Nothobranchius furzeri: one gene and its partners. The protein of the gene in region 1 interacts with the protein of each later gene in a pairwise test. Links are inferred from orthologs where the notes say so. Each region holds a gene or a part of one and is shown in the gene's direction. Other genes may lie near its edges.

The links.
Region 2: the proteins of amot (region 1) and ntaq1 interact in binary tests that used the Homo sapiens proteins (3 or more experiments, as listed by UniProt). The two-hybrid records come from large-scale screens. The link is inferred for Nothobranchius furzeri from reciprocal best matches to the Homo sapiens genes AMOT and NTAQ1.
Region 3: the proteins of amot (region 1) and ptpa interact in binary tests that used the Homo sapiens proteins (3 or more experiments, as listed by UniProt). The two-hybrid records come from large-scale screens. The link is inferred for Nothobranchius furzeri from reciprocal best matches to the Homo sapiens genes AMOT and PTPA.
Region 4: the proteins of amot (region 1) and med4 interact in binary tests that used the Homo sapiens proteins (3 or more experiments, as listed by UniProt). The two-hybrid records come from large-scale screens. The link is inferred for Nothobranchius furzeri from reciprocal best matches to the Homo sapiens genes AMOT and MED4.

Annotation. Positions count from the first base shown.
Region 1 is NC_091750.1:44,157,855-44,163,732, reverse strand, and holds part of amot (angiomotin), read left to right. Parts: intron 1-215; coding exon 216-360; intron 361-916; coding exon 917-1,009; intron 1,010-1,149; coding exon 1,150-1,295; intron 1,296-2,072; coding exon 2,073-2,222; intron 2,223-3,387; coding exon 3,388-3,584; intron 3,585-5,613; coding exon 5,614-5,742; intron 5,743-5,878.
Region 2 is NC_091759.1:9,345,287-9,351,269, forward strand, and holds ntaq1 (protein N-terminal glutamine amidohydrolase), read left to right. Parts: upstream 1-2,688; 5' UTR 2,689-2,782; coding exon 2,783-2,847; intron 2,848-3,036; coding exon 3,037-3,136; intron 3,137-3,347; coding exon 3,348-3,398; intron 3,399-3,480; coding exon 3,481-3,629; intron 3,630-3,699; coding exon 3,700-3,824; intron 3,825-3,912; coding exon 3,913-4,055; 3' UTR 4,056-4,383; downstream 4,384-5,983. Other genes in the region: ribosome biogenesis protein bop1, read left to right, coding at 370-502, 588-771, 839-1,130, 1,222-1,306, 1,387-1,494, 1,581-1,734. UniProt on the Homo sapiens protein: Mediates the side-chain deamidation of N-terminal glutamine residues to glutamate, an important step in N-end rule pathway of protein degradation.
Region 3 is NC_091746.1:70,996,085-71,002,418, reverse strand, and holds the start of ptpa (serine/threonine-protein phosphatase 2A activator), read left to right. Parts: upstream 1-1,912; 5' UTR 1,913-2,034; coding exon 2,035-2,059; intron 2,060-2,734; coding exon 2,735-2,844; intron 2,845-3,040; coding exon 3,041-3,127; intron 3,128-4,264; coding exon 4,265-4,390; intron 4,391-4,467; coding exon 4,468-4,585; intron 4,586-4,704; coding exon 4,705-4,804; intron 4,805-5,184; coding exon 5,185-5,309; intron 5,310-6,038; coding exon 6,039-6,139; intron 6,140-6,334. UniProt on the Homo sapiens protein: PPIases accelerate the folding of proteins. It catalyzes the cis-trans isomerization of proline imidic peptide bonds in oligopeptides. Acts as a regulatory subunit for serine/threonine-protein phosphatase 2A (PP2A).
Region 4 is NC_091754.1:35,368,989-35,374,046, forward strand, and holds part of med4 (mediator of RNA polymerase II transcription subunit 4), read left to right. Parts: intron 1-1,571; coding exon 1,572-1,742; intron 1,743-2,087; coding exon 2,088-2,145; intron 2,146-3,123; coding exon 3,124-3,210; intron 3,211-3,300; coding exon 3,301-3,432; intron 3,433-5,058. UniProt on the Homo sapiens protein: Component of the Mediator complex, a coactivator involved in the regulated transcription of nearly all RNA polymerase II-dependent genes.

The DNA of each region.
Region 1 (5,878 bases):
GCAGATTAAAAGGAAATAAAACGTCATTAATAAACTCCTTAACACCAGTAGTGACAGAGAGAAGAGGACATTTCAAAGGTCAGAGGTCATGAGCCTCTCTGCTTTTGGGAATAAGTGGTTCCTCAGTCTTGTTCTGCGCCTTCTGAATGAATCAAACCTGTTTGTTGATATGATGGTGCCACGCTCACAGCCTGTTTTCTCTGATGTGTGTGTAGCTGGAAATGGAGATCCAGCTGGTATCGGAGGCCTATGAAAACCTGGCCAAGTCCTCCTCCAAGAGGGAGGCGCTAGAGAAGACCATGAGGAACAAGTTGGAGCTGGAGGTGCGCCGTCTGCACGACTTTAACAGAGATCTGCGAGGTGAGTGCAGAAACGCACACCAATAAATCGACAGGACCTTACCGTTTTCTATCAGTCAGATTACAGAAAGGTCCGTTAGAATCCTCCAAAGTGGGTCAGAATCTACTGATTTCTTTAATCCTGTCTTGTTTTTCTGTTCTGATGTGAACAAACACAAACCAGAAGCTAAGTTGTGAGTGAGGATGGTGAAGTTTGCTTTTACACACCCGTTAAAACCACCAGAAGGCTGTTCTCAGGGTGGAGGTGGGCTTGGCCATTTTCAGAAAGTAGGGTCTACGCTTAACGTTGGCTGTGTGAAAAGAAAAGCCTCTTTGTTTTTGTGTTTTAGATTCAAAAACAAATAACAAAAAAATGAGTCACTTATTGTTTTTGGATCACACTAAAATAAAAAAGAAGAAATGATGGGCGGCTTTTGTTTTGCTCTGCAAACAGCAGCTTATCCAGCACAGTTGTGCTCTTCTTGCAGTTTGTGTTCTTAATATTTTGTATCCATATTCTGAGTCACTATTAAACAACAGCAGCGGTGGCATGAATCTGTTCTGCTGCGTTTCCACAGAGCGCATGGAGATGGCCAACAAGCAGCTCGCCTCAAAAGAGTGTGACGGCTCAGAGGACAACCGCAAAACCATCTCCCAGCTGCTGACACAGAGTCAGACACACACTCACACACACACACACACGCACGCACGCACGCACGCACACACACACACACACCCTAACCTGATGAATGATTCCATATTGCCCAGCTCTACCTCTTCATGCTGAGTTTCCATTCTTCTACATCTACAGACAAAGAAACGCTGCGTGAGAAAGAGAAGGTGGAGATGGAGCTAAATGCCCTCCGCTCCACCACAGATGACCAGAGGAGACACATCGAGATCAGAGACCAGGCCCTCAACAATGCTCAGGCCAAAGTGGTCAAGCTGGAGGAGGAGGTAGTGCTCTTTTACGTAGTCCGTCTGTGTAAAAACGTCCTCCAGTGGTGGGTCAGCCAGTCAGGGGACAACGGGGAGTTAGACAGGACTGAGGGGTTCCCGGTCAGGGAGAGGACGAGACGAGGAGGAGAGTGCAGCACAAAGAGGGCGAATATTAGAGGGAAAACACTTGCAATGGCCGGCTGATCTGGTGTTTAACTGATAGCTTTGTCTGGTCATTATTGACTCCAGTTAGGAAGCAGAATATTGACTCTCTGATGACGAAATTCATTCATCCAGCCGGAAAGATTGACGCTGCTGCAGCTCGCAACATCAGACAGCTGGTGCTGCCTTACAAGCTCCAAACGCTGAGTTTGAAGTTTGTTTCACCGTGTTTGGGACATGGTGGATGTACAAATAATGGTTAGAACACCGCTAACCCTAACCGCGGCAGATGCGCTACATATGGAAGTCAAAGTGTGCCGCATAATCATCAAAATAAAATTTAAACATTAAAATTTATATATATAAATATATATATGTATATGCATGTATGTATGTATGTATGTTATATATATATACACACACATATATATATATATATATATATATATATATATATTAGATTTGATTCTTTTTTTCAGAATCAAACATAATTTTAATCACCTTTGAAACGTACAATCCTGGAAAAACCTCGTCCAGCTAGTGTGAACGTCCTGTTCTCAGTGATTAGATCATAATTCATCCATCAAACTGTCCAGAGCTGTGTTTCTAATGTGTGTGTGTGTGTGTGTGTAGCTGAAGAAGAAGCAGGTTTACGTGGAGAAGGTGGAGAGGATGCAGCAGGCTCTGGCTCAGCTGCAGGCAGCTTGTGAGAAGAGGGAACAGCTTGAACATCGGTTGCGAACAAGACTGGAAAGAGAGCTGGAATCTCTCCGCCTGCAGCAGGTAAGGCAGCGTTGTGCACTCACGGCTCCTCGACTTCATCACAAGTTATTGAGCAGGCCTGTTGTGGGGGTGACCATGCATCTGGGTGCAGCTAAATAAAACAAGCTAAGTAAAAGTAGCAGACAATGTTCATAAACGCTCCACCACACCTGGTCTAACACGTTCCTCAGCTTATCTCACATCTCCAGAGTTTGCAGCAGAAAGAGTTGTCCGTTCCTGAGTGTCACGCTAAAGTCGTGTCAGAACACTTGTAAGACTGGAGATGTCTTCTCTGTCTAGTTCATTGTTGATCTGCACTCCAAAGCAGGAGCACTGGGAAGTCCTCCACCTGTTCTTTTGGCTTTGCCACTTTAAGCCAGGATCACATCAGCAGCGAAGCGCCACTAAGTGGATCGCTCACGAAATTTGAGTGCTGCCCGCTGCTGCTCTGTTTATATCAGGCGAGATTTTTCAACAAGCGCTTCTGCTCACGCCTACCGTCCCCCCCCCACCCCCCCCACCCCACCCTCATGCCCTTGCTGTGCGTGTGTGTGTGTGTGTGTGTGAGTGTTTGTGTCTTTGTTCATTTTCATCTCTATTCTGTTTAGATACACAAAAATGATCACATTTATCAATCGCTGTGCTTTATTTAGAAAAAAGTCTTTATTTTGTTACATTTACTGGCCTGCCTCTTCTGTTTGACTTCCTGACAAAATTCACACGGCTCGTGAAAAAGAGCACACACCAAAATGATCGCTGCACGCCGCGAGCCTTCGGCACTTCACAGCTGATGTGATTGAGACCGTAGGTTAACAAGGGCGCCGAGTAGAAGCGCTCTTCGTTCCACAGCGCTTCACGACGCATCGTCGCGCATCTGCGTCTGATGTGATCCAGGTGTTGGGCTGCAGGGGATTCTGCTCTCCTGCCTTGTACTTGGCTTCATTCCTTCCTGATCATACAACGTCAGGCATCAGAAAGGTTTAGGAGGTGGCAGCTCTCCTTGAGTGAAGACTAGACCACAAGGCCCACACCTGTGGAAACTCTAAATATAACAGTTAATATTTTAGTAAAACTCAAACACTTTTTAACGTTTTGTTCAGAAGCTTTGTTGCTTTTGTTTCTACAGTAAACATTTTGACGGGGAGATAAAACCCCACTTTTACCTTTTTGTCTCCTCGCCTCGCAGCGTCAGGGAAGCTCTCAGAGCAGCGGTGCCGTCCCGTCTGAGTACAACGCCACAGCCCTGATGGAGCATCTAAGGGAGAAGGAGGAACGGATTCTGGCTCTAGAGGCCGACATGACCAAGTGGGAGCAGAAGTACTTGGAGGAGAGCGTGATGAGGCAGTTTGCTCTGGATGCTGCTGCTTCTGTTGCTACTCAGAGGTGAGCGTTTCTCCAGTTAGGGGCGTTATGTTTATGTTTATGTATTTAGCAGACGCGTTTGTCCAAAGCGACTTACAAGTGATAATCGGCATGTTGCCCTTGAGGCTAACAACAACTTGACATCAGTCATGGAGAGGAGGGAACAAGGAGTGGACAGTAGAGAGGGGGGACGGGTGCAGGGAGGGTGCTAGTTTAGAAGATGCTCTCTGAAGAGCAGGGTCTTCAGGAGTTTCTTGAAAATTGAAAAGGAAGCCGCTGTTCTGGTAGTGCTTGGAAGGTCATTCCACATTTGTGGAACGATGCATGAGAAGAGTCTGGATTGTCCTGAGCGTGGTGTAGGCACTGCTAGCCGATGATCCTGTGATGACCGGAGCGGCCGGGCCGAGACGTAAGCCTTTGCAAGAGGATTCAGGTAGAGGGGAGCCGTACCATCTCGGACTTTGTATGCTAGTGTTAGCAATTTGAATTTGATGCGTGCTGCTAGCGGTAGCCAGTGGAGCTCAATGAACAGAGGGGTGACGTGTGCTCTTTTTGGCTGATTGAAGACCAGACGCGCCGCTGCGTTCTGGACCATTTGAAGAGGTCTCACAGTACAGCCTGGAAGACCAGTTAGAAGGGCATTGCAGTAGTCGAGGCGGGAGATGACAGTAGATTGCACCAGGAGCTGGGTGGCATGTTGTGTTAGGTATGGTCTGATCTTTCGTATGTTATACAGCGCAAAGCGGCATGAACGAGCAACAGAGGCAACATGATCTTTAAAGGTCAGGTGTTCATCAATCACAACACCCAGATTTCGAACTGCATTTGAAGGAGCCAGAGACAGGAAGTCATTCTGGATTGAGATATTGTGCTGTATGGATGGTTTCGCTGGGATGACAAGTAGTTCAGTTTTAGAGAGGTTGAGTTGAAGATGGTGGGATTTCATCCATTTTGATATGTCAGAGAGACAGTTTGATATTCGTGCAGAGACAGTGTGGTCGTCTGGTGGAAATGACCGATAGAGCTGGGTGTCGTCTGCATAGCTATACGTCTCACGCAGGAACATCTGGACTTGGGTCATTTAATGTCCAACATACTCGTTACCTTACCAACATGTGGTAAGTGTAGTCAGTTAGAGATTTTGTAATAGGAATCCTCTACGTGTTAGGCTGCACGCTTCCATTTAGCCCACAGCAGGTGAAAGATCGCATCTCATTACAAAATCTCAAATGAGCCAAAAATCCCCACTAGACTGAAACCGATTATAATATCCAAAAGCTGCTGAGTATGTTGTTGTAGTCCCACATCAATCGAATCTTCTGACCAGCGTCATAGGAACAGCACAGTCTGTGTAAGGCGGGAGGAATTTCACGTTGTTCTCAATGAAAATGTTACATTACCATGGTAACCCCACATGTAATACAAGTAATAATTTACACTTCTTGTGCCTGAACGGAATGTTTTGAGGAGTAAATTGTGCTGGTGAATGAATGAATGACATCTTCATTTCAGACATAAAAAATATTAATTATATTATTTATTATTTTATTATTATTATTAAATAATTAATAACAGATCTAATCAGGAAATGACAGGAAAATTATGATGTGCTCATTAAATCCTACCCCCCAGATGCCTCATCCAATAAAAACACCCATATAAATATTTGTATACTTAAGGTGTCCTCCATGTCACACATAACACTAACTCGCTCACCAGATCATGCAGAAATACGGCCCATCACATGTACTCCTGCATTAATGATTCTTTTAATAAAATATTTTAGTTGATTTATAATTACACAGCTTTTTAATTCCTCATCAGCCCTGTTCCACACATTTCCTCCACAGACTGAAATGCACATTATCCTCATTGGTGTACATGTGGACACAGTCCCCATGTCCCATGTGCAAAGACTATTTTCAAAGGTACAACAAGGCAGGAGACTCCTGGTCTATGTATATGGACTAGAGTGAGAGACATGGTAAAACTCACCTGATGACTGGAAGCCGCCGTTCTGTTGACGTGAACTTTGACCTTTGTTGTGCAGGGATGCTTCTGCAGCAGGAATAAACCACTCACCAAGCAGCAGCTACGACACGTCGCTGGAAGCTCGCATCCAGAAGGAGGAAGAGGAGATCCTCATGGCTAATCGTCGCTGCCTGGACATGGAGAGCAGGTTAGAGCCACATTCACTGTGTGCACTTCTGTCTTCATTCACATGTACATGACGTGCAGGCTCCCCTCACCCTGACCGCTGAGGCGTCGTCGCTCCTGAACTTTAACTGCAGGAGTGATGAGTCAAAGACTTTTGT
Region 2 (5,983 bases), on another chromosome or scaffold:
ATGAGAAGGATACATGTCCACCAGGCAGTTCAGATAGTACGGCTGTTTTTTGAACTGGAAGCAGAGGAAGTGGGCGGAGACTCACAGCCGGAGTCTGAGGCAAATAGCGAGGATGTTGATGACGATGTGGCAGATCCACAGGTCTGTCTTCGCTCACGTCCGCAGGTTCATTCCACGCCCCTTGTCTTCTACTACGTTCGCGTCTTACAACAACACAATAGGCGCACCGCACCACAGGGCGCGGCGTACATTTTGGAGAAAATTTAAGACTCTTAGGTGCGCCTTATGGTCGTGAAAATACGGTACTTGTAAACCCTGGGAACGAGGGTCTGTCTGGTTACTGAGGTGGGCATTGTAACGTGTCTGCAGGTAGCGATGACTGCTCCGTCAGGTTGTGGGAGGTGTGCTCGTCCCGTTGCATGAAGACAATCCAGGTGGGCGGAGCTGTAAAGAGCGTTGCATGGAACCCAAACCCGTCTCTGTGTCTCCTGGCTGTTGCTGTGTAAGGATCTGGTTTTCTGTCTGTTTTGCAGATCAATCTGTTACATGCATCCTTTTTATTTTTTTATTTATTTCTGTTTTTTTAGGGAGTCCACCGTCTTGATCCTGTCTCCTGCTCTGGCAGACAAACTGGTAATTTCATCATCAGAGAAGTTTCTTACTGGTCAGCAGGAAGAGGGGCCTTCAGATGGAGCAGACCCTGTGGTCTGGTCAGAAACTGAGGGGGAGGAGCTAAATCAGGGGATCCGTCTCAAGATCAAGCACCCCAAAGTGAGACTGTCCTCTAAATAATTCTGGGTTTTGTCTGGTGGGAACTAACTGGTCAGCGTCCCCACAGGTTGTCCACCAGGTGACGTGGCATGCTAAAGGAGACTACCTGGCATCTGTGATGCCTGAACACTCAAGCCACCTGCAGGTGTTCATCCACCAGGTGAGCAAGAGACGGAGCCAGAATCCCTTCAGGAAGAGTAAAGGTCTTGTCCAGTGCGTGTCCTTCCACCCCATCAGGCCCTACTTCTTTGTAGCCACTCAGCGTTGTGTGAGGATCTACAACCTAGTCAAACAGGAAATGACCAAAAAACTACAAGCCAACTCCAAGTGGATCTCCAGTATAGCAGTCCACCCTGGAGGTCAGTAGGTCACAACGGCACCGCCTCAGTGTAAACGTTAAAGATAGTTCTATAGAAGAGCTTTAGTTTCACCTGTCTGACTTACCTGCAGGTGATCATGTGATCTGTGGGAGCTACGACTGCAGGATGAGCTGGTTTGACCTTGATCTCTCAACCAAACCTTACAAAATGCTGCGGTACGCTCCTAAGAGTCCATCAGTAGTCTTTGTCATTGTGCCAGTTCTAATAAAGCTTTTTGATCACTTCTTTCCTTCAGACACCATAAGAAAGCAGTGAGGGGTGTGGCCTATCACAGAGGTTACCCTCTGTTTGCCTCGGCGTCTGATGATGGATCGGTGATCGTCTGTCACGGGACTGTTTACAAGTAAGACCACAAACACACCCTGAAAATCTATTCATAACAAGACTTATAAAAGACAGGATATTAAAACTTGCCGCCGTCTCTTCCAGCGACCTGCTTCAGAACCCGCTGATAGTACCTGTAAAAGTTCTCAGAGGTCATGTGATCACCCACGATCTTGGTGTTCTGGACGTGATCTTTCACCCCACTCAGCCGTGGGTCTTTTCCTCAGGAGCTGACGCCACCATCCGGCTCTTCACCTAAAGTGTTTTAACCAGCAGCAGCTCTGTGTGTGTGTGGGAGGAGTCTGACCTCCCTAATGGACTGATTACCAGGATACCTTCTTCTTTTTTTTTTGTTTTGTTTTCTGTAGTTTATTTTATTGTTTTCAATAAAATGTATTTTATTGTTTTCAATAAAATATATTGTTCTTACAATTTGTCTCTGTATGTTAAAACTAGGAGAATTATTGATTCTTTTTTTAAAACCTACAAAATGTAGTTTTATTTGTCTGCCTTCATTTTAAAGGAGTTTGTGTTGCGGTTACCTTTTTGAAAAACAAGACCATTTATTACAGCTTTCAAAAAGGAAATAAAATTATCTAAAATTATCAACATAATTACAGCTCTAAAGGTTTTTTTTTTTTGTTTGTTTGTTTTGTTGCCAGAGGCAGAAATTAGGACTATCCCAAATATAAAGTATTTGTGCTTCAAATTTCATCATTATGGATATTTTTAACTTGAACCAAGTTTTTGGGTATTTTGTACAAAGCTTGTTTCTAATAGTAAAAGTATTTGTAATAACCATGTAAATGCACGACTGCGCAGGCCTGGGAATATTTGTTGTATCTGTTGTTTAACCAGGTTAAAGGCCTCTCTTAAGAATAAAATCTCTAAGAATATCAGCTTTCTTTATGTATCAGTTGTGCTGAACACAAGCGGGAACTATGTTTAACGAAAATATTCGGGTACCAGGGTCTGCAAAATGTTCTTAGAATATTTACTACAAACAATTTTCTTTATAATGAAGTTGGTGTGACAAGAGTTTTCAACCATGGGGACACATTTCGAAGTGACACCGTCGGAGCGGTTTCGGTGTAACACCGAACCGCGAGTTCTGTTACTGGTAAATCCATTCTGTTACATCATGAAAAAAACTTCAGTTTGTTGGGTTTTACATAATTATTCGTCAAATTTTGTAGCAAAAAACAAACAATTTTCTTTATAATGAAGTTGATGTGACAAGAGTTTTCAACCATGGGGACACATTTCGAAGTGACACCGTCGGAGCGGTTTCGGTGTAACACCGAACCATGAAGGCAGTAAAGGATCGAATCACACCGAGTCGTGAGTTCTGTGTTTACACCAGCTGTTACTGGTAAATCCATTCTGTTACATCATGATTAAAAAAAACTCCAGTTTGTTGGGTTTTACATAATTATTCATCAAATTTTGTAGCAAAACGCAGTTGGCTTAAATGGTAGCTGCTACATTCTTATGGATATGATTTTATTATTATTAGATTATTTTTGCTGTTTGATTAGTGATGTCTTAATTTGCTTTGCAGTGAGGAGAATGTGTGGAAGTTGTGTGAGTTTGTTCAAACAGCGAGGACTGCTCCACTGGAACAGCTCTTTGTGGTTTTCATCTCTAATGACAACAGAATGGTGAGAAGATCAGCTCTGAGAAGTTTGTCATGTGTTACAAAACCCTTTAAACATATTTAACTCAACAGATTTAGTCTCAACAGGTCTAAAGTTTAACAAATCATCACGAATCCCCTTAAATTTGCCAAGTTTGTATAAAGAATCAACATTTTCACTAAGATCTGACTTCTGCTGCTGCTGCTGATCAGTGATGTTATTTGTTCTCCTTCAGGTTCCTCTGTGGAAGCAGAAGTCTGGACACGCTGACCATCCAGTGATCTGGGTCTATGATTCTCCTTCCTGTTAAAGTGGCCTCAGAGCATTAAAATAATACATTGTTAATCATGTTTTTTTGGGTGTTTTAGGACTACCATGTGATCCTGCTTCATGTGGATCCTCAGTCGGAGGTTCTGGTTTATGATCTGGACACAGAGCTGTCATTCCCATGCAATCTGAGGCTTTATGGCAGCCAGGCCCTCCGCTCAGACCACCACATCAAACCTGAATATCACAGGTAGCACTGCTGAATTACACAGGTAATGCACTGGAGTGAAATCACCAACACCTTCTCATATCTGTGACAGGAAGTTGCGTGTGATTCCTGCTGAGAGCTTCCTCTTGAACTTTGCGTCTGATCGAACTCACATGAAGAACCCTGATGGGAGCTGGAAGAAGCCCCCTCCCTCTTACCCCCCTTTAAAGACCACTGGTAACAAATCAAGTTAATGTGGAGCATGTTTTCTGATTCCTGTCTTAGGAAAAGGTGATTTTGTACTTTTGGTGCATTTCCTCTTCAGGGTGTCAGATGAACCTGGATGACTTCATCAGCATGAGCCCAGCTGTTGGCTGGGGGACAGTTTTCAGTCTGAATCAGTTTCTACAGAAATACTTAGGTTGCTCCTCCACCACCTCTTCATCTTCATCATCAGCTCAATCCTGATCAGCATCCTGGCAGCTGCTGTTTTGTGATTAGCTTTTATGTTATTATGAACATTTAATCTGAAATGATTGAGAGACTGAGACAAACATTGAACTGAACTTTATGTTTTGGGCTGAGCTGCATCTCGTTTGACCTCTCTTGAGTTTCACCTTGGCCTCTGAAGCTCAGAGGAAACCAGAAACATGACGACGACAGCGCTTCAGCCATGTCACAGATTCATCTGGAAACTGAAGTGATCCTTCATCACACACGCCTGTGAGAACTTTGAGCATCAGCACCTTGATTTCACCTGAGTTCCTGAGAAATAAAAAGATTTTATTTAATCTTTGATCGCGTTGGATTCTCTGTCTCTGTAGCGCAATGATAGAATAAAAATTAAATGTATAATTGTAACTTTTGGTGTCAATTTGAATCTTGGTTTCCAGAATATTTTAACAATTAAAACTTGGTGAAATTATGCAGATTCTAGTTAACAGCAGATTTGTGTTTGGGTATAAGTTCTATTTACCGTTATAGATGACTGGTGGAACTTGTGCAATCACTTTCACCTGTCATATGTTTGTGTTCAGTATGGCAGGAGTGGTTAGGACACTGGTTTAAACAGGAGGATCAGGCATGTTTGGTTTCAAATTCTTTTCTGGAAGAAGCTCAGGACAGCAACATCCAGATAAAGTAAGCAACCTGTTTTATTTTATCAATCAAACAATCTTTAAGATTATTTTCTTTTGAGTTCTTTGTCCCTTTGAGAAATGCACATCTCTTTAGAACAAACATGAGCGACAACAACAACTCTGACCAGGACGGGGGTCGGCAACCAGCGGCTCTGGAGCCGCATGTGGCTCTTCCATCCATCTGATGCGGCTCTCTGTGCTTGTAAAATAATGAATGGATATTTAAATAAAATGCTTTATATTTTACTGCATACATTTTACATCTGTATGCCAATTCTAAATGTAAAGATTGTCTGCGTAAACCTGAACAGTTCCAACCCGGTCTTACTGTGAGACCGGGTTGACGCGTCACGCTTGTGCGTAATCATAGGTGCTTTCTGAGCTGAAGAGGATATGAGATTCTGGGATTCTCCTCAGACGGCTCCTGGATGTGTCGCCACATTGGAGACAGGAACAAGCGCTATTCAGCCAAAGTTTCATAATCAGGTGTAGGAGAAACTGGCTTGGCTCAGCCATATTGTAGCGTTGTGGTCTTACGCTCTTTTATGAAAGAGGAACCATGCTACGTATTAATTCGGAATATTAATTTTTAATAAATCAATAACCAAATTTTATATTGTTAAGAAGACTCAAAGGTTGTTTTCATCAATAAACTGACGATAATATCTGTGTGTCTGTGTTTCAGTTCAATGAGGAAACCAGTTTGACAATTAAAAGTTTTAATTCTTCAAATTAAACTAATGATTTTGAAATTGACAAACAGGAAATAACAATCAACATTGGCAACTTGTGGGACAATCTTTAACAGTTGATATGATCAAATAGACCTTGTGGTGAATTTATGAAGATTGAGAATGTTGTGATATGACTGCGTGTGTGAGTCTGATTTTGCTTCAGGAAGAAACAGGTGTCTGAGTGAAGTGATGGTTTGGATAAACTTAGGTCTTATCAGAGAACTGCATCAAACGCTAAACACCGTGTTCTGTCTCACCGAACTCTTGTGGACCCTCTTTCGGATCCGGGCCGTGGAGGATGGTGATGGTTCATCCAGGTGACACCAACGGCTGACAGGGGAGACGTAGGTGTCGAACGGAACCGTTCCAGAGTTGCCCTCGGTACACGTTGATGGTAAAGCGTTTTGGCGATGCGCTTGTTAAGTTTAGTTCACTCAGAAATCAAAGACTCTGTATGAGTCTGCGTTAAAAGTTGTGATTCAGCTGTCCTGTCTGGCTGACAGGAACAGCGTGAGAGGGGGGG
Region 3 (6,334 bases), on another chromosome or scaffold:
GCTGCTGCTCCTCCTTCTCTGCAACTGCTGGCCCAATGGCAGCGGCGTCACAGAATGAGACCTCTAGCTCCTGTCTGGCAGAGCCAGTACCAAGAGCAGTTTCCTAAAAGACAAAGGCAATGACTCGGGGAGACGTGTGGTGATGTTCATGTTCGTGTTCCTTTTGATTCCACATTAAGTTGTGTTCAAGGCATTCTGGCATGATGTTTGAACAATGTTTCTCCTCATATGGTTCTGATGAGCACTCAGTTTTCAGACACGTTTCCCACACGTAATGCATTCCTTCCTACTGGACATTCAGTTAAAGTTTGCAGTGGGTTAGCTACAGCCTCTTGCTGGTTTGCCCCTGACACAAACAACACGCTAACGAGGAAAATGTTTCCTCCGCTTATTTGCCGCACGTCTCTGCACACAACACATCTCCTGTGCATGTGTGCCGTCCAGGCGAACGCGGCGACGGCGGTAGGGTTCAGCTATGGCTCATGCATGCGTGTCCTCTCTCTCAAAATGTGCAAGAATTGGTACGAATCTGCAACACGAGCGCATGGTTTCACAACATTGTATATCGTGGTCACAAGCTTCATTTTCGGTCTCGTCCTCCGCCATTTGAGGGGATTGTGGTAACCAAACTGACATCATCAGATAATTATCTTGCCCTTAGATCAGAGCTGAGGGAACTCCTGGAAAAGGAAGCAATTTCCAGGGTTCAGAAAGGCGAGGAAAACTCAGGATTCTGCTCCCTCTACTTCCTGGTTCTGAAGAAGACGTGAGGAGCCAGGCCCGTTCTCGATCTGTCCTTGTTCAACCGCTTCATGGCGGTAAAACACTTCCATAAACTGACAATAAAACAGGTTCTAAGTTATGTGCACCCGGGTTAGGGTCCTCACACTTTGCACTTTCTCCAAATGCCTGGAGATGGCGCTTCAACCCTTACGCACTGCGGGCATGAGGATCCTCTTTTACTCTTTTATGATCTGCTGCTGCTGACATGCTCCGAGCCCGAAGTGGAATCACAGACGCAGGCGTTAGCAGACCACCTGCTCAGGCTGGGGATTTCCAAAAATTGGGAAAAAAGCTCCGTGATCGCTTCTTGGGTGATCACGTCATGGGAGTGGAACTGAACTCTGGGATCAGGAAAGCTTGCCTGTCTCAACTCTGGGTCTGCTTCACATGAGATGCATCCACCTTCCCCCACTCTTTCCACAAGCACGTCCTTGTGCTCCCGCGCAGGGTGCCACAAACTTCACATCCATGGACCTACTTGACAGTACTACATGGATCCTGCCAACAACGCCAAATGTGGCAAGGTGGAGAAACGAGGGCCCGGGCGGGATTCGATCCCCTGACTCCCGGGTGAGAGTCATGTGTTCTTACCAGTCAGCCAAAGGGACATCCCCATGGCCAAGTAGCCAGGGCGCATGATCAATCGGGACATTGTGACAGGACACTCACACTGTCACACATTGATAGTTCAGACGCCTCAAGGTTCACCCGATCCACCACAAACGCCGCATGATGATTGTCTCTAAGAAGACCCTAAGAAGAGCTGTTTCAGTTGAATGAGCTCTATGAAAACCTGACTGGAAACCATCATAGATGTTATGTTCATCAAGATCAGCTGTGAGTTGTTTGGCCACAACCTTTTCCAAGATCTTGGAGATGAACGGAAGTTTAGAGATGGGTCAAGACTGGGTTTTTTTTAAAGATTTGGGTTGGTTACAGCATTCTTAAAGCGCTCAGGGACCTGACCAGAAACCAAAGAAACATTAATTATAGAGAACACACTTGAACTGACGGATTTTTGCCGCAACACAGTTGTAAACAATAACTTCTAAATCTATTTTGCCTGGTTATTTTATTTTATTTTATTTTATATTTTATTTTATTTTATTTTATTTTGCGTCTTGGTGTGGATAACATGTATTTCCAGCTTTGGTTTTCAAGGTGTAGTACCACCATTCGCCACCTAGCCGCAGTAATAAGCTGAGGCGGAGTTAAACTCTCCAAAACCCACGAAGAAGAGCGAGCGTCGCCATGGCGGAAACAAAGCAGCAGGCAGGTAAAAAAATCCACCGGGATGTTGTTTCTTCGTTAAGTTCAGAGTCAAAGTGGTAAAAATGTCTTTAATCGTAGCGTTTAAGCCGCTTTTCTCCATGAGAACGAGTTTTACGGCGGTTAAACTAACCCGGAAGATACACGCTGACTTAGAGACAGAATAAGCTAACATTATCTTCACATTTTAATCACGTGATTAAAATGCTGTCTCATTTTAAATGTATTTGTAATATTTTTTATTGCTCGTGATGTTTTTTTAGCGTTTAATACATCCAGTTGGTTGTTTGGCAATCTTCGGTGTTTTACTGCAGGAATGTACCTCGGAAAGTATTCTTAACGTTGAATTACAGTGTTTTTCAATAATGTTCCAAATAGTTTATTTAATTTTTTCTCTATTCAATATTTCTAGGAACAACTTTCATAAATAACTATTGGGGGGGGTGGGGGGGGGGGGGGGGTAGATGCCCGTTCTTATTTCTATTTAAATATGCTGATTTTAGCAACAACAAACTCATTTTCGTATTTAATCCAACAGAATTAAATAAATTAATTAGAGCTGAGACCTGAATGACAGCAGGACTTCCTCTGTGTCCAGTGAAATAAGAATAATATATAAAATCACCGTCAGCCAGAGTTTTTGGTCCAAAGCTTTATGATTTAACTGAGTGAATGTTTTCAGCCTCCTCCCCTGAAGATGAAGCTCCTGAAGTTTCCGCCCAGGCCAGCTTCATGATACCTAAGAAGGAAATCAGCATGGTGCCCGACATGGGGAAGTGGAAGAGATCTCAGGTAGGTGTCTACCTGCAGCTCTGACACATGTAGCTCACATCCGTTTGGTTCTTTTCCTCTGACTTGTGTTTAAAGGAGAAAACCCCATCAGTTTAGTTTTATAGAAACCAGATGTTCAGATTGAGCTGATGGTGGAGGACATGAACCTGACATGGCGTCTCTGGTGTGTGTCTAAGGTTCTGCTTGTGCCCCACAGGCCTACGCCGACTACATAAGCTTCATCGTCACGCTGAATGAAGGAGTGAAGGGAAAGAAGATGTCGTGTGAATATGAAGTCTCCGAGGTTTGGTTTTTTTTAATGTCTGAAATGGTTTTTATTTTGACTCGGACACCTTTAGAGATGTTCCTCCTAGAGACGGAGTTCCTTTGGACTGAGAACACGGTTCTCCAGTTTTTGTCTCAGCGGACAAACAAAGTCCCTTAAGTAGGGTTGTCACGGTGTGAAAATGTAACCCCTCAGTTATTGTGACCAAAATTATCACGGTTTTCGGTATTAACGCGGTATTTTTTTAAACGTGTTACATTTTCAGACAACTAAATAAACCCTGTATATCAGGAAAATATTGTCCTCGGTTTGTGTCCTTCCAGTGAGCTTTGCAGATTTGGGAAAATGTCATCAGGCAGTAATCATTGTTAAATTCATAATTATTCTCGGAGAGACCAACTCTTATCTGCCCCTGGGAGCCCCGTCATGCATAGCGTCATTTCAACATGGCGGTGTCCGCGACACGGTTTATATGCAGGTAGCGGCACTGCGGCTGCTTTATATAGCGACTCGTTGCATTCTCCCTCAACCCAAATCCTCGGATCACGCATTTTAGCTAAAGCGCTAACGTTAGCTTGCCTTGCGTTGACTGTAGAGTTGTGGGTGATGGTCACGCAGATGTGTCATGAGATTTGAAGCGTTGCTGCCTTTCACAGACACTTTTTCTGCACCTGCTGCAAACAGGATAGCCGTCTTCTATCAACTGTCCCTCGGCATTCTTCAGATATCCAAAAGATGCCCGTACTTCCCACTTTGTCTTCTTTGAGGGATAATAAATGTACTCCTGAGCGCTGCCGTCTCCTCCTTTGGCCATTATTTCAGCTTTAGCTTCAAGAAAGTTTTGGTTGTAAACAACAAAGTGCGCATGTGCCGCCGGCAACTTCAGCAGATGATACGGTGGCTGGTAAGGGTCACCGCGCCTACACCGCAGCCACGGTAATCCACCGAGATAACATATGTTTTAAAAAAACAAGATGGTTATTATTATTGTCAACTTTTTTACCGGGGTTTACCGCTACACTGGTTACCGTGACAACCCTACCCTTAAGGAGGAGGTTTTCCCTCTGCAGCGTTCCGGTTCCTCCTACTCGTGGAGGTGTTCTGACGCTTCGAACAGCAGGTGATGAAGCCGCTTCATGTGGTTGCTTGTTGCAGACGGTGGACAGGCTGCTGGAGCTTTTGGGGACTTTGGACCGTTGGATAAACGAGACTCCTCCTGTTGACCAGCCGTCGCGTTTCGGTAACAAAGCCTACAGAACCTGGTTTGCCAAACTGGAGCAGGTTGGTTCAGACTTCCTCCCACACCGCCGAACCCCCACGCCGTTGATGCTGAGTGTGTCGTTCCTGTGTGTTCCCAGGAAGCCGAGACCTTGGTGTCCGCCGTACTTCCTGCCGACAGATCCGCTGCTGCTCCAGAGATTGCCGTCTACCTGAAAGAGTCGGTCGGGAACCCCACCAGGATAGACTATGGAACGGGTAACAAAGTGGGATTCTGATCCTGCTTCCCTTCCCGGCAGCCAGACTTCCTGTTAAACTGGTTCTGAAGGGACGGTCCTCCAGACCCTCTGGAGGTCTGATGGAGTTTGTGTTCTCAGGTCATGAAGCAGCTTTTGCGGCGTTCCTCTGCTGCCTGTGTAAAGTTGGAGCTCTCAGAGCAGAGGATCAACTCGCCATTGTCTTTAAGGTTTTTGACAGGTGAGCTCTTACTGGTGATGGCACACGGTTACTGGGAACTACTGGTGTAAAAATGGTGCTCCACTTCAGTTTCACCTCTAGAGGCGGAGCTCTAGTGTCGTGTTCCTGAGTGATGGGGCTGATGGAGGCGAGAAGGACCAGCCGAGCAGGACTTTGTCTCTAGTGAGGAGCTGAGCTGGAAGCTCTGGATTTACTGGGCCATCTAAACCCTCACCTGAGGTCATGAGATCTGGATCAGCACCTGAAGATCCAGGACCCAAGCTGCCTCCTCACTGAAAGGAGGCTGTTCTGATTAGGACACCTCCTTATTTAGAGTTAGGTTTTGATGCTTCTCTTGTTCGACCGAGCTATAACATCTGGAACATCTGTGTGTTCTTGAGGTACCTCCAGGTGATGAGGAAGCTGCAGAAAACCTACAGGATGGAGCCGGCTGGGAGCCAAGGAGTCTGGGGCCTGGATGACTTCCAGTTCCTGCCCTTCATCTGGGGCAGCTCCCAGTTCATAGGTGAGGCTCCGCCCACAGAGTTAGGCGATGCACGGACCACTAACACTTTAGTTGTGCTTTTACTAAAATCCTGAACACATCCAAAATGGTGTTCCTGGGACTGCTGCCAGGGCAGAAGGCAGTCCGCCGGGTCCTTTAGGAAAGCAGCTCTTTGTTGTGGGAGGAGCTGCGGTGTAGGGACCGGATGTGAGCACTAGGGGGCAGCAGGCAGACATCCAGCCCTGTCTGATCCCAGCACCGGAGCAGCTGCTCCCCAGAAAACCAACTCCCCTGCAGATTTATCTGTTGGTCAATAACCTGAATTATTTTCACCCTGAACATAAACTACAGACATGTTTTATTATTTCTAACGATCAATAAATCAGCCGGTAATTAAAACCAAATAATAGAATTTTCAGCCGATCTTAAAACGACTCAAATCCCACTTCAGATCAACAAAAGCAGCTTTTTATTTATTTACCTAAAACTAAACGGTTGTTAAGGGAACGCTTTTTGTAAATCAGTTAACGAAGACAAAAGTCAAAAATAGACAACAGTTTTTCAGATTTACCTCAGACCTTCAACGCTGCGAAGTCTGGAGCCTCTGCTGCTGATTGGTTCACAGATTAAATTCCTAAACCAGCTTTAATTTAACACAGAAGTTTAAGGCTGCGCTGGGATATTTCGGATTTGATCGTCAACAGCGACTCCTGGTGGCAACCAGGCCGACTCACGCTGGTTTCTCCTCAGGTCATCCGACTCTGGAACCGCGGCATTTCCTCGACGAGAAGGTGGTGAACGAGAACCACCAAGACTTCATGTTCCTGGAGTGCATCAAGTTCATAAACGAGGTCAGAAACCCGAGTGTGTGTGTGAGTGTGTGTGTGTGTGTGTGTTTTGACTAGTCTTGTCTGCCAGTGGTGGTCGGGGGGACCGAAGGTGCCAGCGCTCGGCAGCCTCGCCTCCATCAGCGTGTCCCAGGGCAGCTGTGGCTACCTCGTAGCTCATCCCCACCAACATGTGAATAACTAATTGTGTTGTAAAGT
Region 4 (5,058 bases), on another chromosome or scaffold:
CGGCGCTGCGGCTGCTTTATATAGCGACTCGTTGCATTCTCCCTCAACCCAAATCCTCGGATCACACATTTTAGCTAAAACGCTAACGTTAGCTTGCCTTGCGTTGACTGTAGAGTTGTGGGTGATGGTCACGCAGATGTGTCATGAGATTTGAAGCGTTGCTGCCTTTCACAGACACTTTTTCTGCACGTGCTGCAAACAGGATAGTCGTCTTCTATCAACTCCCTCGGCATTCTTCAAATATCCAAAAGATGCCCGTACTTCCCCCTTTGTCTTCTTTGAGGGATAATAAATGTCCTGAGCGCTGCCGTCTCCTCCTTTGGCCATTATTTCAGCTTTAGCTTCAAGAAAGTTTTGGTTGTAAACAACAAAGCGCGCATGTGCCGCCGGCAACTTCAGCAGATGATACGGTGGCTGGTAAGGGTCACCGCAGCCACTGTAATCACCGAGATAATATAGTTTTTTTAAAAACAAGGCGGTTATTATTATTGTCAACTTTTTTCCCCAGAGTTCACTGCTACACCGGTTACCATGACAACCCTACTTCTATGTAAAGTATTTTAATATAAGTTTCAGTGGGTGCGCTGGCAGAAAGTCTTACCCTCCAGTCAGAACCTAAAACAACACCAGTAGGCAGAAATGATCAAAAATACCCGTTATTAGCACAACTGAATAATAAAACACCACGGGCGAGTTCCGCTGTGGAACTCGTCGGCTACTGCCTCTTGTCCCTTTAAGACAAAACCAGCTGTTCAGCATAAGTAAAATCAAACAATCAGGTACTTAGCTGGCCCAGTCGATGCGACCCCCTCCCCGGGGTCTGAGCTTCCAACACCGTCCAACGCCCCGGGGTTCAGCTTGCGTGGACGGCAGGTGAGTCCATGGCTCGGGTCCGGCTGCCAGAGTTTGCTGTGGCAGATGTCGGCGTGGTCTCGGCACCCAAATACTCCCAGCCCTCGCTACCTAAAGAAGGCGTCAAGCCTCCCGTCCTAGCACTGGAACACTGCCCACCTACTCAGCTGTCTTCATCGCCGGCAGTCCTAACCAACTGCGAACGATCCCACCCCCCAGAACCGGGTGTCACAATGACAGGTCGACCATACACACACACACCTTGGTAGATCTGCCACCCTTTTATCATCTCCGGCCTCATCACACCTGACAAGCACCAGCCGGCGTCTAGTTGCCACGCCCCCAGAATCTGGCAAATCCCATCTTCTGCCTTTCACAGTATGTTCAGGTACCCTCAGGAGACACTTTTTACTTCTCCGTGCAGATTTGATGTTATATTCCTCATAATGAGATGATGTTTGATTTCTGTATTGGTTTTATTTGACGTTGTTGTATTTTTGGCATTTTTTTTCTGCTGCCTTTTCATTTTTGAGTGTTTACATTTCAACTACTACCTATTATTGTTATTGTTGGAATCACTTTTCCTGGAAGATCTGAGGTACACTGGTGTCTATAATGATGCAGCAAAGTCTGCTGATTAGACATGCCATGGCTGTTAACTGGTTATCCTTTGAATATGAATTTGGATGTAACATTTGCAATCTGTTTTTCCCATCTAGATCATTGATCTGCTGGTGCAGAGGGACACGGAGTTCCAGGAGCTGATGGAGGTGGCCCAGCAGCAGGGGAAGGTTCACCAGGAGATGCAGCTGCTGGAGAAGGAGGTGGAGAAAAGAGACAGCGACATCCAGCAGCTCCAGAAGCAGCTGAAGGAGGCCGAACACATACTAGTAGGTTTGTTGTAGGAATTGCAATGCGGTGATATGATTTAGCACCATCTGTATGAGCTGCATTCCATTCCTGCAGCTGTGTGCTGCTGCTTGTTTGTAAACTGCTTAAAGACTGAACTTTTACAATAGCTGATGGGAATTTACAAACCAAACAAAAGCATGAAGCTGTCATGGAGAAGGGTGGAGCAGCTGCTGCTTCAGAGTGGGTTTGTGTGAAGTCTCCACCAACGCTGCTGGTTTTGGTCAACATGAATAATTAGTAGAAACTCACAAACACATCATTCTTTAAATCTGAGTGTTTTCTTTCCTCAAATGATTTTTGGTTCCCTTGTTCTTTTATTTAAGGCCACCGCTGTTTACCAGGCAAAAGAGAAACTTAAGTCTATAGAAAAAGCCCGGAAAGGTGAGGAACACACACACACACACACACACACGGAACACACTCACATGGAACACACACACAGAACACGCACGCACGCACACACACACACGGAACACACAAACGTGCACGCAGGCACACACACACGTAACACGCATGCACACACACACGGAACACACACACGCACGCACACACACACACATGGAACGCACACACACACACACACACACATGGAACGCACGCACACACACACACACACACACACACGGAACACACAAACGTGCACGCAGGCACACACACACACACACGTAACACGCATGCACACACACGCACACACACATGGAACACACACATGCACGCACACACACACACACACACACACACACACACACACATGGAACGCACGCACACACACACACACACACACACACATGGAACGCATGCACACACACACACACACACGGAACACACAAACGTGCACGCAGGCACACACACACGTAACACGCATGCACACACACGCACACACACATGGAACACACACACACACACACACACACGGAACACACAAACGTGCACGCAGGCACACACACACACACGTAACACGCATGCACACACACGCACACACACATGGAACACACACACGCACGCACACACACACACATGGAACGCACGCACACACACACACACACACATGGAACGCACGCACACACACACACACACACACACACACACACACACACACACACACACGGAACACACAAACGTGCACGCAGGCACACACACACGTAACACGCAGGCACACACACGCACACACACATGGAACACACACACGCACGCACACACACACACACACACGAAACACACACGTACACACACACGTAACACACACGCGCGCACACACACGTACACACACACATGGAACACACACACACACACACTAATGAAGTCTGTCTTGTTCTTGTTTTTCTTTCATTTGTCTTGATTTTGAGTTTTTAATTGCAGGAAGCATTTCATCAGAGGAAATCATCAAATACGCTCACCGAATCAGTGCCAGCAACGCCGTGTGTGCTCCACTCAACTGGGTGCCAGGTAGGAGCTGGAGGCCCCTGCAGTTCCCACTGGCTGTCAGTAGAGGGCAGGTTTGACTTCATTAACACACCATCCAAACGTTGGTGACAGGAGATCCACGCAGACCTTATCCCACCGACCTGGAAATGCGCAGCGGGATGCTGGGTCACATGGCAAACCTGCCATCCAACGGTGTGAACGGACACCTGCCAGGTGATGCTCTGGCTGCAGGACGGTTACCAGGTAAGTTAAAAAGAGCAGAATTAAAACACTTGAGTGCCGCGTAAGTTCAGGTCTTTATGAAGACTGGTTTTGTTTTATACTGACACTTCAGAATGTGTCTTGTTCCATACCATCTTTATTTATATAGCATGTATAAAAGTAGCATGGCAGAAGACCAAAGATGCTTACACGGAACAAATCCAGCACTTTTAATGAGATGAAGCATCAAAAACATTTCAAAATTTAGCATAAAAAGAGAAAAATAACATTGAGACTAAATAACAAAAGATGGAAAATGTACAAACACTAAAACAATCAGCTGAAAAATAGATGAAATAGAAGCCAAGATAAGCTGTATAAACTGTCTTTTATAACAACTAAAACATTGGAGTGACTTAACTGTAGAGTTGGGCATCGAGCATCGATGGGAACCGGGACCAGGAGTGAGTTTTTCCCGGAAACGCTCAAAGTTTCTTTGGTGTGTTGTTACTGTGTCTAGTTTCTAATAACATTTTGGTTCTTTTTAAAACACAGAAACCTTTCCTGTGTTTTAAAAAGAACCAAAAACGCTCAGTTTTTTATTTCAATTCCTAGATCCTGACCGGAAGAGGAATTCGCAGCTGACCTCCGTGAAAAACAAACGTGATCTGCAAATTCTGATCGGCACTTTTCAGAGCTGAACACACCAGCTGTCTGTCGCCTGCAGAGCTTTCTCTCTGGTGGACCACACCGGGTTATGCCCACTGTAGCCCACAGGGATAATAATATAAAAATAAAAAATGTCACAACACACAGTTGTGACATTTTTTATTTCCTTTTTGAACTATTTAATCTGGTGTGAGTTTTAATGTTTAAATCTGTTAGATTGTTACTGACAGCAGCTACATTCAAGCTTCACTTTTTGTTCTGACTGAATGCTGCTGCAGCACGGAGGTGTCGACTCAGTCATCCTGGACATGATCATCCTGATGGTTTCAGTTATAAACAGCTGGACTTTTCTGGTTATGTTGGAGACATTTAGCCTCTCATCCCAGAAGCTTCTTCAGTTCCCACACTTTGGTTGTGGTCAGAAACAAACACACTTATAACATGTTTTTGTCTAAATGAAAGTGACCGTTACAGAAAGCAATCAAAAAAGAACAAGAAAAACCCATAAGAGTCATGTAGGATCTGAGCTGAGTTAGCCTAATCCAGACGGGAGGAGATGAGTGTAGAAGGATGGATTTTAACACTGTAATGCAGCAAAAATGGGGGGAAAAACAAGAACTCACAGTTGCAATGGTTTGTGTTTATCAGGGAAAGATGAATAAAATGCTCTTTAAATACACGTTTCACTGAATTTTGGGGAAACTTCCTTTAGATTCTTAATAAATTCCAACCAGCAGCTGAAGCACTTTTCCTTTGATCAAACATCAATAGGGCAGATCCATATAACCTATAAAGTATTATTTTCCTAATATCCAGAGGTGGATCTGTGTTAGCTGTGTAAAGTTTCACCACATCGATGCATAAACAAGACCTGGAAAGATGCATTTCAAATATATGAAACCACGGGACAACCGTCTCACCATTAGTCTTGGGCCCGACCGATATATCGACCTGCTGATATTATCGGCCGATATTGGGGTCATTAACAGTATCGGCTAT